Linked DNA regions of Drosophila melanogaster. The protein of the gene in region 2 interacts with the protein of the main gene of each other region in a pairwise test. Each region holds a gene or a part of one and is shown on either strand. Other genes may lie near its edges. The genes, in order: CG16972, CG8460 and msi.

Evidence for each region.
Region 1: the proteins of CG8460 (region 2) and CG16972 interact in a two-hybrid assay, tested with the Drosophila melanogaster proteins (one large-scale study listed by BioGRID).
Region 3: the proteins of CG8460 (region 2) and msi interact in a two-hybrid assay, tested with the Drosophila melanogaster proteins (one large-scale study listed by BioGRID).

Annotation. Positions count from the first base shown.
Region 1 is NT_033779.5:13,197,169-13,204,923, reverse strand, and holds the start of CG16972 (uncharacterized protein), read left to right. Parts: upstream 1-1,628; 5' UTR 1,629-1,923; coding exon 1,924-2,380; intron 2,381-2,515; coding exon 2,516-4,213; intron 4,214-4,269; coding exon 4,270-6,321; intron 6,322-6,380; coding exon 6,381-6,579; intron 6,580-6,641; coding exon 6,642-7,368; 3' UTR 7,369-7,755. Other genes in the region: Pect (phosphoethanolamine cytidylyltransferase), read right to left, coding at 652-734.
Region 2 is NT_033779.5:8,195,285-8,199,446, forward strand, and holds CG8460 (uncharacterized protein), read left to right. Parts: upstream 1-1,908; 5' UTR 1,909-2,008; coding exon 2,009-2,281; intron 2,282-2,347; coding exon 2,348-2,537; intron 2,538-2,594; coding exon 2,595-2,798; intron 2,799-2,864; coding exon 2,865-3,264; intron 3,265-3,328; coding exon 3,329-3,470; 3' UTR 3,471-3,529; downstream 3,530-4,162. Other genes in the region: CG8475 (uncharacterized protein), read right to left, coding at 1-285, 345-692, 753-1,105, 1,300-1,451, 1,512-1,531; PGAP5 (Post-GPI attachment to proteins 5), read left to right, coding at 3,759-4,162.
Region 3 is NT_033777.3:25,514,505-25,519,144, forward strand, and holds the start of msi (musashi), read left to right. Parts: upstream 1-1,613; 5' UTR 1,614-1,845; intron 1,846-3,818; exon of another isoform or gene 3,819-3,968; intron 3,969-4,640.

The DNA.
Region 1 (7,755 bases), 5.0 Mb from region 2:
AACCGAACACCCGGTTTATCACATATAGCAATTAATTATTGTGCAAACTAATTTGGGATATATGTATTGTTGTTAGCTTAAGCGCCATAAAGAGTGCGAGTATCGCCGGAAAAGGCAAATTAAACATTTTCTCTGAGTAATCTGTTTTAGAATAGCCACTGTAAGCGTACAATTATAAATAGATTGCATAGCGTATAAATATAAATATAATGCCAAATGTCCCGGTCAAGCGTGGAGAATATGGACATTTCGGATCCGAGAGACCTTGAACCTGAATTATGTAGACATTTCAGCCGGACGACGGCAATGGGTGGATATTTGGAACGGGCAGCGAGACGGCACCGTTTCACAAAGATTTGCTAATCAATTGAGGAACCCTGGACGCTTCTTAGCACGCCTAAAAATGGGGTTTAGTTTATCGTCGACTGATTACGGTTATTGGTATTGGAAACCAAATTGGAATTGAAATAGTAGGGTTCGGTTGGCCGTGGTGTGGCATGGAATCGATGGCACCGACGCGGAATGGTTATGCTTTGACTCACTTTACCGTTAGCGGTGAGTAACGACGTGACGCAATGGGCTGCCCTAAGAACCGTTAGACATTGTGGACCGAATTCCTGGAGGCCCCTAAATGTAATGTAGATGACTCACCATCCATCGCACCAGACGCGCACATCCTTCCGCTGCTTGTCCGAATACCCATTGCAGGCGCTGGTATCGCCATTTGCCTCCATCGTTGACTTATTGAATTTTCACAATTTAATTTAATTTTAATTTAGAATCCGGCTAACGGGCGAACATTAGATTCCGGAGAGTATGTTTCTGTTTTCAGTGCTCGTTTTGAAGGCGGAAACTCGACGACAGCGACGTTCACGCTTCGAGAGCTGTAAGTTATTTGTTCTGAGCTACGACGACGCCCGCTATATATCAATTCCCATTTCACGACCGAGCTACTCAGTTCAGTTTTCGTTATCGGTTTCGGACTCGGATTCACGTTCAGACTCGGAGCGGAATTGGTCTCAGATTCTCAGACTTGCGTTATCAGCGCGCGGGCGCATGGGAACTTCTTTGGGGCGTAAGTGCGGTGTGTTTAGCTTGGGTTTTTTTTTAGATTCTTTCATTTCTTTTCTCACAATTTCGAGTACCGTGAGAGCAGAGTGGCCGCATCGGTGTTTGTCCAAATATACCATATGCCTGGTGCGATGAATACCAGCTAACGCGGATTTTGTAAACATCAACAGCTGATCGAGATATATTGGGAATAACTTTAAATTGGCAAATTTTATGTTACTAAGCTAGAACTTTTATATTAAGCAAGTACAAATCTGTATTATTATACGTTAAAAGGGTATTAACTCTATTAAATCCTTATGAGTCGATCACCCCAATGAAATGTATAATATTTTAGGATATAACAAAGTGTTTTGTTTATAAATAAATGTAAATATTGTCACAACAATTATTAAAAAAAAAGTGTCATAGAATTAAACAACGAACACTACTAATAACATTCACAATTAAAATTTTTTTTTTCATTTTAAAGGTATATTTTATTGATTGATCCCACTGTAAAAATAATACCGATGGTATTTTAAGAGGCATATTGGCCATGGCGATGTGAGATAATACTACGGTGTTTCCCACGGTCACACAGGATAAAGCAACTTAAAATATTAAGCCTATCAAATAAGAAATATACAACGCACAGCACGCAGATATACGAAAAATAACAATCGAAGGAAACCGACCAAGCCATGATAATGTAATCATGATCGTCCACAGTCAGTTCGGGCATTGTTTTGTAGACAGCATCAAGTATATTTTTTAAATTTCACGTGCTAAATTTACAAGAAATCCTACCACAATTACTAAACGAGTCGACGAGGGCTAGATAATCCCAATCCCATTCCCCGTACCAACGCGATGTCCAGAAGAGAAGCCAGCCTGATGGCCTACGTAGCGGCGGAGGAACACCTACTGAACCGGTACTCGCCGCTGGAAGGCGACGAGATAGATACGGCCAGCGAAGCTCCAGGCGACGCATCGGACGTGGCTGAGGATCGGGAGTATCCCACGGATCTTGTTGCATCTGTCACCAGATCCTCGAGGACGGGAGCAGATCTGGACCCCGCCGTGGACAGCAACCTGCACGTGATCTCCGACGACTCGGACACCCACAGCTTTATCTCGAGTGGCAGCGGCTTCAAGGGCTGGCCGGAGGAGCAGCCGTCTTCCAGTTTCGTCCCTCAGAATGAACCCTTAATATTCGGACTTCGCCGGCAAATGATGATGACCGAAGAGACACACCAAGCCCCAGTATGGGCCACCTGCACACCGGCAAAACGTTCGTACAGCAGCCACGAGGTCATCGAGATCAACGGTTTGTTAATCTGTTCCATTAACTATACAAGGAAATCTCTTCCATTTAATTGATTATGAACATTTATCCCAATTGAAAATATGAAATATCTAATATGGTAAACTCACTCAATCGCATACTTTTCTTGTTTTTTAGACTCACCCGAATCTGTCCAGGATCCGGGCATTGCACTAAGCCCCGGCATGCTGCTGACAAATGGCAATGTTGACCAGTTCGAAATGCTGTCCCACGAGAATGATGAGGCTGAACATGAACTTCAGGTGGCCGAAGAAGGGGAGCAGTGTGTGATCTATGAGGCTGTGGATGGAGAGAACATGGTCGTTTTAGGAGAAGAACACTGCTGTGAGATCATAGTAGCTACCCAGGGAGTGGCATGCGAGCAGGAGTTCGCCAGGGCCATCATGATGGCCGGAAACGGTACCGGTGCATTGCTGGGCTTGCTGTCCGAGGAGAGTGATGCGAATGAGTGTCTCAATGGGACTGCCTACATCGAGGAGGTCGTGGAGGATATGGGTGTGGCCGAGGCACGATTGGCGGCTGGAAACAATGTGTACCTTAGTGATGCAGCGCTAGAACAGCCTTTAGTGCACCAGGATCTGGTCGACGACGAGGCTCCGGAGGAAAACGAAAACGCCACATTCTTAGACGATACACCGATGGAGGAGGAACGCCCAGATATTTGTCAGGTGTATGATCACGAACTGGAGGACCACGACGATGAAGAATGCGAGGACGCAGTCATCCAGGAAGAACCAGCCCAGCCTATCGACATTGTAGCATTCGAGGGACAGGAGCCGCTGCCAAATAATCCGCAAAGAAAGTTGCTTCGCGAACACAGCAGTCCCACGGAATTTCCCGTCAGCTCATCCTCCATGCCCAACGCCAGTGACCACTACGACTATGAGGATGAGTTAACGGGCGGCCGCTCTCCATCCAAAGTGGCTCCACTGAAGCGAAAGTATCCGCCGCTGATGAAGAATACGCTCCATGGAGAGGCTATGGATCGAAGACTGGCAAGCATTTGTCAGGCTCAGCCGCAGATGAGTCCCGCCGAGAAAGTCTCCAACTGGGAAACGGCACCCAGGGAAGAGTGGGCCGATGTCGAGGATGTGGAAGGCTTTGAAGCTGCCTTCAAGCAATATGAGGCTGTTACCGCATCACTCAAACAGCTTAACTTTGCCGAATTCCGTGAAGCACTGGTCCGGAATATGGAGAAGATCAGCCGTGAAATCATGCAAACCTCAGACGAATCCACTCAAGAGCTTGCCAGCTCTCAGTCGGCGGAACGGCCGGTGTATCGTCGCTATTTGCACATTCTGCCCACCGAGGAGACAATTGTGCTAGATGATGATGACGACGATTGCTACGAGGTGGTCGGCATGGAAAAAGCCTCTGTCACCACATTGATACCCGAAGAGGAGCTACAGGATAATCAACAGCCGGAGGAAGAAGAGATAGTGCTGCCAGTTGTTGATGACATAAAGAACACGGATTCACCGAATTTCGAGCAGCGGAACCTTACCAAGGAAACATCTACAGCAGACTTGGAGAGAAGCGCGCTTACTCAAACGGCGGGTTCATCCGCTGCGAATTTAGACGCATCCTTATCCCATGCTCAACCTTGTCCAACTGCTCCGGCAGGACTTACTGATTTTATGCAGGCGAACTTAAGCGACCGTGGGCCATCAGAAGACCAACAACTAACCAAAGCTGTATTAGATGTTATGCGTCAGCAGGTGCAAACAATGCAACAGCAACAGCAGTTTATGGAGCAAAAGATGAACCAACAACCACAGATGTATCACTACGAGGAACTGCCACAGGCTCCCCAACGTAAGACTTTTTATTTGTATTTTATTGCAAATTTAATTGGTTAATTTAAATTACAGAGATGCAAATGGAAGGGAATCAGGGGCCTTACGTTAAGTATCCGAATGAGCAACAGGAATTCTGCAACTATCTGGGTCTCACCGAACTGTCAACAGCAAATGCCGTGGCTACCGCAATGAGGGAACTAGCCAACAGCACTATCCCTCGCCGATCGCTGCGGGTGAGACCACAACAGCAACTGGACAGGATGCGTAGTGATGTGCGTGGCAAGCGGCGCGAAAGGGAGCGAGATAGGCAGCAGGATAAGGACAAGAAGATACCGTTGACCACAAGTAGTGAGCTTAGCACCGATAAAGAAGAACCCTCCCCGCCTCAGACATCAGAATCCGTTTCAAGGATGGCGGGGGATGCGGATGTCCATTTCAACTCTCAAATGCCTGCAGAGCATAAGCGAAAACTGAATCACTTGTACAACTCTTATTTTGCGGAAGAGGAAGAATGCTCTACGAAGAGGTCACCCAAAACCACCGACTTTATAGCCAGTTCCAAGTCCTTAAAGGATGTAGAGAGGCGTCCATCGCTCAAAGGACAGGAGCCGCAACGTCATAGATCCATCATTGATGGCGACGGCTATCAGAAACATCAGATAGACAATGAGTCTGAGAAGGGTCGGGTTCAGTCCGTTGAGGCGGCTTTTACTAAGATCTTCGAGGCTGCCGCACCTGCCCAATCCAAGCTGCTGGAGAGCATGCAGCAACGCTTGCGCCAGGCGCGTGAGACGAAGCCATCAATTTATATTATTAAGGCTACAAGCAATGCCTCGCCCCCGAATCCATCACACAGCAGGCAGGAGTCTCACATCTCACCGGCGCCCTTGAACTTAATCGGCGGCTTTGGTGACGTAAGCGCGCCGCATCCTTCTGTCATTTCCCAGCCAGCGAAGAAAAGTCCTACAATAACCAGTCCAGATAAGGAAACTCCAGCCCCCTTACCAGTTGATACACCCAAAAAATCAAAACATAGGAAAACCCATGGAGCCACCAAACCTGTTGCCGCTACACCACGACGCCGCACTACAATGGGTGCATCCAGTCTCGGGAACGAAGCACGTGCACGCGATTTGGTTACCCGCTCCACCACGCATCTTAATTCGAAGCTACTTCGTAGCCGCAAGGTTAGTCTGCTCAAGAGCTACGCCCTGTCGGACGAAATGGCTCAGGGACGATCGAAACGGATGGCTGGCGGTGCAGCACAAACCACCAAAAAGGCTCCAATGCCCAAGGCAGCACGGACGTCGTTAAAGAAGCCGGCAGATAAAAGTCTTCCTGAGCAACATCGCTTGGAGCAACAGCAATTGGCTCCGCCAAACTCTCCCCGAAAGATGAAAGGTGTCAAGGAGACTGAAACTGACACGACAAGTGCAATGAAATCTAGTCGCCTTACTAAACGGACCAAGCGAGCACGAGCCAAGTCACTGCCTTCGAATATTGAAAGGGTGACTGAGCCTGTGGCAGCCGTTCCTAATGCCAATGTATTGAGGCTCGCTGACCTGGCACCAGAAGTGCCCAACACATTCGCGCCTACACACAGCCATCTGGTCAACTCCACAGCCAAAGAAGCCGCTGACAAGACCTTCGTTCATTCCCCCTCCGTCGCTCAATCGCCTTATGCACAGCCCGTGCTTATTTACCCGCCATCCCCAACAACACCGCCACCGAATACGGAGCCACATCGCCCTCGCCAGCAAGCCGGAAAAGTCAATCCAGCTGACTTAGTCCTGGCCACCCCTCCTGGGGGCCTGCTGCGACTCAGTCAGGGATCCGCGACGCTAGCAAATCCACTTTCTGCCAAGCACGGCCAGGTTCTCTATATGTACTACGAGCTGGAACAGCTCATTGTGCTGCAGGAGAATTGCATTACCTTCTGGAAGTACTCCAAAGTGTTCAACGTGCTGCATCAACCGCGACATAATCCCTCCTTTGATGGCGCCAGAAAATCTCCATCTCCAAAGCTGCCTCAAACACCTTCGCGCGAGCCCAAAGACGTCGAGCAGGAGTTGAAAATGGGCCCGCGATGGGTTTACCTGGGCAGAGTGCGGCGCCTGACTAGCGGTGGGTTATGATCATTTATACACTTTACGAATCTTTCTAGCCTCTTTGATGCATTACAGAGAAAGAGATCTTTACGCCGTTTGGCAGCCGCATTTGCGTGCACAATTCGACGCCGGTGTACCTGGAAATGCGAAGCAGGCCGCTGGACCATCACAAGAGGGAGGTGAAGCTAACCTCGCTACATGTGAATGTGTATTACTTCTGCGAGGAGGAACTACGACCCCGTATGCACTCTGTGCACTTGGATGCTGTCAATTGGTGAGGACTATCACGCAGTATGCATAAATTCAATGACGTAACCTACAACTTTCGTTATTTAGCGAATGGCCGCATGTCATATACACAACTATAGCGGATTCGCGTTACTTCGTTATGGCATGGCAGCAGGAACTGGTGATGGGCAAGTCGCGCTCGGGCATTTGCAAATATTCACTGACGCCCACGCTGGATACGCTGGCCTCCATACGGGAGTTTAAGCAGTTGCGCCACGAGCTGCGTCACATTGAGTGCCTTTCAGAGGATCGCCTTATCGGCTACGGCCAGATGCGCATCACCGTCTGGGATCATCGCAGCGGCGATACTCTGATGAACTACGACTTGGGCCGGCCGCTGGGCCGTTGCCTGGCTGCTACGCACTATCCTAGCCTCGACTTGGACCAAAGCAGCATGCTGGTGCTTTATCAGCTGCTTAAAGAACCAAACAAACCGTCTGAGGTGCATGTGATCGCCTGTGAGCTTTCCCATGCCACGCCCTCGCACCGCCTGCTGCAGGTCCACCGCTTACCATCGCCGCAATTCGACGATGCCACGGAGGGCGTTAACACCGGTGATCATCTGATCATCAAGTCAGCATCGAACGACGAAGCCTGGATAAGTGCCGCCGATCCGAGACAGCTAACCTATTTGGCGCCGCAAATCAATGGAGCTCAGCGTTTTTATGCCCGCCACAAGTCCCAAGTGATCGAGATGTCCCCGCAATCCCTAACTGTAGATAGTATCGCCAATCACATGTTGAAATTGGCTGTCCAGCAGACCCAATCGGCGTAGACCTGTGTCGCGGAACTAGAAATGTGGAGAGTCTCGGCCTTGAACAAAGTTTTTGTTTTTTTTTTTCACACAAACCCATGTTTGAATATCACCCAGAATACCCGATCTATAAATGTGCTTTTGGCTGTCTGCCCAAGTATAGTTCAAATATAGGAAACTATAATAAGTTGCGTGTTAAGCCCTGTAGTCCTAACAATCATTTTAGTCGTAAGTAAGTCGGAGAGTAGTAGCCTTTATTATGCGCTATTTTGAAATAAGTGTTTTTGTTTCTTTCGTTCTTTTTATTTTTTCTAAAAGAAAAACAAAACTAGCTTAAGCTATCGTAGTTTTAGGCATATGAATTCAACTGTTTGATTTGCTACTATCGACTGAAGTAGTAAATTTGTC
Region 2 (4,162 bases):
AATTTGTTCATTGTTATTCTTGAACACGCCATCGATAATCATGGCTATGAAAAAGAGCGGCCATTCACATTCCAGGCCTTCGAATTCCTTTAGCTCGCCAGAGTGATAATAGCGTCGCGATTTGTCCTCGTTTTTGCTGAGGAATCCATCACGGGTGAAGCGCTTAAAGCCCATTTTGCAGCGCAAACGATTTACAACATTTTGTTTGGTCTGCTCCACCAGGCGATCTTCATGCGAGGCAAAGGCTGGGAAAGAAAGGGTGAGAAGCAGTGAAGCATCAACTCCCTAAAAGTTGAAACTTTAATTAAATGATGCAAACTACAAGTAAAATATTTTAGCACAACCTTTGAGCTTGATTCCCTGGGCAGCATGGTTTCGAAAATACTGCGATTCCGGTTGTGGGCATCAATGTCCACATAGACAACGCTCCATGAAGCTCCTTTCTCGCCGAACAGATTGCACCCGTTAATGGCCTCCAAGGCGGACTTAGCCATGCCAATGGAGGAGGCATGGATCTCCGGGGTGCCATTGTTATATTTAGAGCCCCGCTCCCACATGCCAAAGTCGGGCGTACGATAGGCGCGCTCCACATAGTACACTAGATTCTGGACAAAGGCCACCTCGTCGTGGGTGTAAATGATCTGCAGGCCAGAGGTTATCATCTGGACGAGGAACAACAGATAGAGAGAAACCTAGGAGGAGAAGTTCAATGCATTTTAAAACTCTTCGATAAGAAATCCCCTAGAACTCACGCAATCTATCTGTAGGTGATTGTAAAACTCATCCGGATATATCTTCTCTCCGGTGTGCAGCTGGAATTTGCTATGCAGTGCGTGCTGATTGGACTGGCGCTGCTTAAAGAGCTCCACCCGCGATGCCTGCTTGACCCAGCACTCAAGAATGCCTCGCATGCACTTCACAGTGCTCTGGCCCAGTTCGTAGGACTTTCCGCGGTCATCGTCGATCCGTCTGTACGCCTGGTACAAGCTCCACACGGCGGATGCGCAATACACACTGTCCCGCACCGATCCCACCACCTGGTCGGTGCTCATCACCGGAAACAAACCGGTGATGGGACTCTGGTATCGCAGCAGTTGACGCTTGACTGAGGGAAGAGAAAGTGTTAGATTCACCCGGTTATCGCGTCTTAATTGGCTATGCAAATAAACAAACGATTCTGTTTACAATCAAGTGTGGGGCGTCGACATTTCGCGATGTGCGATGCTTATTAATAGACGCCGTCAATTGGTGCTCAATTGGCCGCCCCACAGACGACTCCAAGGTTATATAAATCCTCACCAATGCCATAGTAGATGTCCAGCTGCTTCACCGTGTCCTCGTAGTTGGACGTTTTCAGGAACTGGTCCAGATTGATCTCCTCCAAGCTGTTGTGGCGACCACTGTCCGGAGCACCCGAACTGCCGCCTGGAGTTGTGACCGAGAGACCGAGACTGGAAGTGGAAATATCCTCGCCATTAATATGGGATTATTTTCGATGTTTTCATACTTACGATTTCGGCACATCGCGCATTGTTTCTTCAGCAATTGCAAATTATATTGCAATTGCGCTTAAGAAAATGTATCAAAGTCAAAAAAAAGTCAAACGCTTCTAACAGCTGAGCAGCTTTTCATTGCGATCTGGCAATGCTCTAAGCTAAAATCGATTGTTGAAGACCAATCGTTAAAGGCAGAGCGGGTGATTTAAATCGGATGCGCAATTTAAGAAACATATTAAGTTCTCGTTATTGTTTGAAGTTGAAATAATTCGGTGATATAATTTTAAGCTTATAAATAATAAAATAAAATATATCAAATATAATGTTAAGTCAAGTCCAAGTAATAATTTCTGAAGCACACTGCTATTTACCAATTTAGGGTGACCATTTAGAGTGTCTGATGCCGTTTGCCGTTTAGTGTACGCTATGGTCACTTTGCTGCCGGCTTTTTTTTTGTATGCGATTTGTTTTTGTGCGATTTATGCTGTGGTCCTGATTGTCCTTCTGTCGAAATGCGTGCGCCTGATGCGCTCCTGCTCCGCGTCGCTCTCCTGCTTCTACTGCTGACCACCGTCCGCGGAACCCTCGCCCCGGACAGCCACAAATCGAAGAGCAAGACCAAGGAGAGTGCTCTGCGTGGCGGTCCGCAAGACCAAGATGTTTTCGATCTGGGCTTGGTTAGTCCCGAGCCCCTGGCCAAGGATATCGTGAGCAATCATCGCGGGTACTTCAAGGAGACGGGATTGCGACGCTTCAATGGCACCACCTTGGGCTATGTGACTCCAGTAAGCAGAGGACGTACTCCCACATTTTGTGCATGTGTATTAATCTATTGTTTGCTTTGCTTGTAGTGGAACTCGCATGGCTATGATGTGGCTAAGATATTTGCCAAGAAGTTCGACATTATCTCGCCGGTTTGGCTGCAGATTGTTAAGCAGGGAGATCGTTATGCCGTAGCCGGAACCCATGACATCGATGCGGGTTGGCTAACCGATGTCCGGAGAAAGGGTAAACAGGTGCACAATCAGCGAACGGTTAAAGGTATGAGAAAATGATACCCGCTGGCGTTAGTCTAAACTCACTTTCCTTGGATTTCAGTGTTTCCCCGTTTTATATTCGATCACTTCACTGATCGGGACATTAAGCTCTTGCTTAGCGACGCCCAGGAGAGGACGAAAGTCAACGACGTGCTGATCAAGTGCTGCAAGGATAATGGCTTCGATGGACTCGTCCTGGAGGTGTGGTCCCAGCTAGCTGGACGCATAGATGACAAAATTCTGTACACACTGGTTTTGCAAATGGGTGAGCTTAATGCGTTGTAACCCTTTGTTTGTTATTAATAATTTAAATTTCTTTTACGTCACTTAGCCAAAGAACTACAAAAGCAACAGCTGCGACTCATTTTGGTCATTCCTCCATTCCGCAAGGAAACAGGCCACCTTTTTGGAGAAAAGCACATGGACAAGCTGTTCAAGCACATATACGCCTTCTCTCTGATGACTTACGACTTCTCCAGCGTGCAGCGTCCCGGAGCAAATGCACCATTATATTTCGTCCGTAAGGCTGTGGAGACAATAGCTCCAGAAGGTTGCGCTGATATGACGGCTAAGAGGGCTAAAATTCTGTTGGGACTGAATATGTACGGGAATGATTACACGCCCGATGGAGGTGGACCCATCACCTTCTCCCAGTACTTGGATCTAGTCAGGCATGTGAAGAAGCACCTAACTTACGATGAGCGGGATGTGGAAAATTTCTTTGAAATCAAGTGAGTTTTCTACTGCAGCGTATGCAGAGTGTAAGGCGAAGATGATGAATATCATTACTTTCAGAAACGATGACGGTCGCCACATTGTCTTTTATCCCACTCTCTATTCCATAAACGAGCGAATAAAGCTCGCCCAGGAACTGGGCACTGGCATTTCAATCTGGGAACTTGGCCAAGGCCTAAACTATTTTTACGATCTCTTCTAGTTAGCCTGTAAGCAGCATGCAATGCACAATACCTATTCCAAATAAAGGAAATTATATATAAGCCATAATGCTTCATAATTTTTCCAATTTACAATTTTAGTAACCAACTTTGAAATGAGGCGCCAATTTGTTAGTCAACCGACAGCCGCTTGACAGCACTGTTTAATTTATCGAATATTTTAAATTTATATCGGGCCGTTTACTCGTTTAAAACGATACTATCGCTGATGGTTTTTCAGCTCTAGAATAAATTTGTTATTATTTTTTTAGCCGGTGAGAAATCCTGAAATGCGCTTTCTTTATGCCTGCTTTGTGATCGTGCTGTGCGCCCTGATCTTCTGCGAATATGTGGCGGACTTTGTGGTGCTGCAAAAGTGCAAGTGGCCGGAGATAAAGCGAAAGAAGTATGTGGACGATCCGCTTAGGGCAATGATTCTAGCGGATCCGCATCTGCTGGGACCGCATCGTGGTCACTGGCTGGACAAGCTCTACCGGGAGTGGCACATGACGCGGGCCTTTCAGGCGGCATCACGTCTGTTCCAGCCCGACGTGGTCTTCGTCTTGGGCGATTTGTTCGACGAGGGCGACATGGTCAGCGACAAGCAGTTCCAGGAATATGTGTGGCGCTACCTGAAGATGTTCCACCTACCACCGGGAATTCCGCTCATCAGTGTCGCGGGAAATCATGACGT
Region 3 (4,640 bases), on a different chromosome or scaffold from region 2:
TATAATTGTTGTATAATTGTTTTTAATTCTAAATTCCAATAACTTATTCTAAAATCTTTTATAATGAATTAAGAGGTATCTCTTAGTCCAGAAGACGTATGACGACTTTTTCTAAGAACATTTTCTTTTTATTCGTTTCAGTCACTTCTCTCGCCATTTCCGAACTAATCGAAGACGCTTTCTGGCAGAATTTATTGCTGCTTCGGCGGGGGCGTGGCAGGCGGTGGGCGGTTAAGATGTAGACGAAATGGAGGCGTGGCAGGGGCAAAAACTGCTCCTTTGACCTGTCTGCCTCAGTCACTGTTGTTGCTGTTGCTATTGTTATATATTTCTCCTTCTTTATCGCCCGAAGCTCTGCAAACAAGTTTCTTGTGTCCCGACAAAAAAGGAACCAACATGAAAAAATGGACCAAACAAAATAAGGGAAAATATATTACAGAAAAAAACTCTTTTTCGCCGTCAGCTGCTCGATTGCAGAAAACTCGTTGCGCTTGTTGCGCGTTTTGTTGTGAATTATAAAGAAAATAAAAAAAGGAGCAAATTTCATGAAATCTTGCTTAGGAATGGGTAGGCCTTTGATGTTTTTAGGCCGTCTAATAAGCCGCTGAAATTATTGTTTTAGATTTTTTTCTTCTGATTTGGGAGCGCCCGTCTGCGATTTTGCAAAAAATTTGTGTAAATTTTGAATTTTGCGGGGGCGTGCCGACATTTGGTAATTGCGGTGGGTGCAACAGGCGACAAAAACGCTATAAAATAAGCTATAAACTGGGATTAAGTCGTTGTTTAACAATCATATAAAAATGGTAAAGGTAAAATAATAATAAAGTGTGTGTTAAATAAAAATTACAATATTACAAGCATTTCCTTCAAATTAATTAAATTAAATTTTTTATTGCACTTAAGCAACAATTTTAAAGTACCGAAAAATACCAAGTAAATACCAAATGATGCTCATTTTCATTTCCCCACTGAAAAAGCCACAGCAACAACACTACGTCGCAGCATACGGGACCGGAAGTTAGAGAGCGCTCGAGTGCGAACGGGACAACAGTATGAGTCCCAAAAGTTGTTGCTGTCTCCCCAAATGGCGTTTTTTGAGCGACTTCGCCGCAAACAACAACGCGCTCTCAGTTTATGGGAGAGAGAGTTTGCTTGTTTTTGTTCCTTCGCTGGTGGTGTGGTGGGGGCGAGTGAACCGCTTATGTTGTGGGTGGTTGTTGCCATCGCATCGCAAGAGAGAGAACGATTCCGCTCTCCTTTTGGATTACCCTGTACTTCAGAAATTCCCAGAGTATATTGCGTTTGCAGAGTATTATTTTAAAATATATTTTATATTATATCTATTTTTTAAATAAAATTCCTAAAGTAATTTTTTAAATTATATTTATCATTGGGAAGTTAAGCTTAGTGTATCTAAAACTTATTGTATCTAAAAACCGGGTATCTGCAAGTTGGAAAACTCGACCACTTGTTTTATTTTATTATGCTTGCCGCAAACGACAAACAACCGAGAGAGATAGATCGACAAAGAGAGGAAGAGGTATAAAAAGCGAGAGGCGGTGAGAGAACTTTTCCGCGGGGGCCGCTTGTACTTGTATCTGTATCTTTCGGACTCAGTTTGCCTGCGACCGTTACAACAGCCAGTTGATTCGAAGCGGAGCGATTCGTGGATTCGTTTTCATCGTGTCGTCGTCGTTTTGTCGTTGATTTCCGTTTGTGCATGCAGATAAAGCCAGGTCTTAACTTGATTCTGGACTGGGCCGAAAATCGAAATCGAAACCGAAGTGGGCTAATGGAAAATAAACAAACAAACAAAGCTTGAATTTTGTTTGCCGCGCATTTAAAGTAATTCCTATTTGTCGCCCCTAGAAAATACAATAATAAGAAAATCTGTTTCTGACATGTTGCATGACTGAATTAAATTACGTGTTAAATTGTTAAGCTAAATGAACAAACCGCATCCATAAAACGGATGCCAGTGCATGCAAATTAATTAAAAATACGATTCGAAATCTCTCTACACATGCATGCACAACCCATCAAGCTTTATTCAAATCAATGACTTGAGCGGCTAAATAAAATATGTATTTCATGGCTATTAAGATTATAAACAAAATTTATCATTAAATCTAAAATCAACTTTCATGGTTTATTAACTAATGATATGTTTAACTAATGAATGCCAAAACATAAAGCAATTTAATTCGCTATGACTAAGAGACCGATAATCCATACAAAAGACGAGTTCAAGATATGTGTGTATAAATAATATAAAACAATGAACTCTCAGCTCGAGATAAAAAGCCCAGTAATTTGACTAAATAAAACATGTGTAATTAAATAAGTGCTTTACTAATAAATTGATACAAAATTCAATTCAAATGGATTAAATTTATATCAAATTTCGATTCGAGATTGGTGAACATTTGTGCACTGGAGAAAACCATCAATTTTTAAAACAGAAAAATCCATTATCAAACTACAAGCTGTGGTTAATGTTTACTGTGGTTGTTGTCGGTGACTAGCTCAGTTTTATCAACAACAACAATTTTGCGTTTCAGTTTTGTGTATTTCTCAACGAGTTGTGTACGATAAGAACTGAAAGGAGACCTAAGATTTGAAGAAAATCAGAAATGGCTCTAGGGAACTAACGATAATGAAATATTTTACTACAATTTAACAAATTGTCGTTATTTAAAAGAAATAAACACGCATAAGCCCGTGTACAGTTCAAAATCCCATGGAATATGTGACAATTAAATTAATTAAGCTTAAACAACAGATACGATAACTGAACACTTTCCAACCGAAATAAATTTGATTTGTAAATTTCACATAAATCAAAGCGAAATAGCTGGCAATCCTTCCCTTCAACTGAATTAAACAATTACTCTTTGTTTCTCAGTTTTAAGCATTCAAAATCAACAAAATGCGTCAGCTGCGAGCTGAGCTTTAAAAGAAATACGAGCTGAGCAAACAATATAAGATAAACACAGAAAGTCAAGTACAGTCAGTGCTCCAATTTTGTAACCCACAAATATATTTTAGGATTTTCCCAATAAAGTAAAGTGCAAATTGTTTAAAACGACAGCTCAAAAATAAGTCATGGTTTTTTTTTCGAAATATAAATAAAATAGTTTCTGTTCTTTACACTTTAATGACAGTAAGTTAGAGCCTATAAATAACAATTACTTGGAAATACTGAATTTAGTTGCATACATGCTACAAAGTAAGCTCTTAATTGTTTTTTTTTTATCATATTTTTCGACGTTTATAAGAATACGTATTTTATGAAAATCTGCAAAGTTGCTTAAAAAACCTTCAACATTTCCATGTTTGAAGGATAGATAATGGAGTTATCGTTGAGGGTGTTCCACTATTCCAGAGCTCACTTTAAATTGGGGGGAGAACAAAGCGGGCTATAAAGACGCTCGTTCGGCGACTCAGTGTGCTGGCTATATGCGACTATATGGCTATATTGTAGGCCTATTGTCTGGGGAAACTGCATGGAACTGCATATCGGAAATGATTATGGGGGGAGTACCAGCTTGATGACGGTAGAGGCGCGATAAAAGACACACAAAAGGGGGGAGAAAAAAAAAGGTTGGTACGTCATTAACTGACTCAGCCGCATGTTGCATCCAAGCTTTTTTTGTTGCTCCTTTTTCTGCTCAGTATTCACGTCCTGCAGAGAGAGTCCCAAAATCCAGAGAGAGAGCGTGGAGAGCGAGCGGAGAGGGAGAGCGGCAGAGCTTCAGCGCAGCACGGCGAAATTCGCTGAGCTCGCCTTAAACAGTTCGCAGCCGCTCCTTCACCGTTAGTTAAAAAAAATTCCTTGCCCGAAGCGGAAGGATTGTCGAATTTCGTGGATTTTTGCGAATATTTCCCGTGTAATTTTCGTCACGCGTCGTTTATTTGCACCAGCGAGTGTGTGTGAGTGTGTGTATAACGTACTGGTGTGTGTGCGTGTAAGTGACTCAACTCGAAGACATTTTTGTTTCTTTTGTCGAGGGACGCTTCTTTGGTTTTTTATTTCTCTTTCACATATTCGCATATTCTTTTGCGGCGAATTCAATGACGTCGCAGAAATTTGTTTTTATGCCATGAATTTATGTTTCTGTATGCGTGTGCATGTGTTTTTGTTCAAGCAAATCGATTAAATTTATGAAAAATTAATACGAAAACCGGCAGCGAACTATACAAAAACTATGCAAGCGATCCAAGACTCAAATGTTTTTAATTAAAAGCCGTGTGTGAAATATTATCAAACCGCAACGGCAAAAACAACAATATTTTATCACCATTTTGAGAGCGGCACGCACGTGTGTGAGTTCTTGAGTGTTAGTGTGTGTGTGTGTGCAGTGGCGTGTGTGTATGTGTCGAAAAAGCCGGCAATGGCAAAAGAGAATTCAGAATTCAGCATTGAAAGGCGAGAAGCAAAAGGCAAAAGCGAATGCCAAACAGCGAAAGTAAAAGCGTAAAGCCAAAACAAAGAAATGCCAAAGAAAACCCAGAAAGCCAAAAAAAATTGTTAAAATTAATAAACAATAATGCAAATCAATGTTATGGGAAATGGAAAAGCGCTTCAGATACAAATATCAATGAAAACACAAATATTGACAAATACATTTAATGTAAAC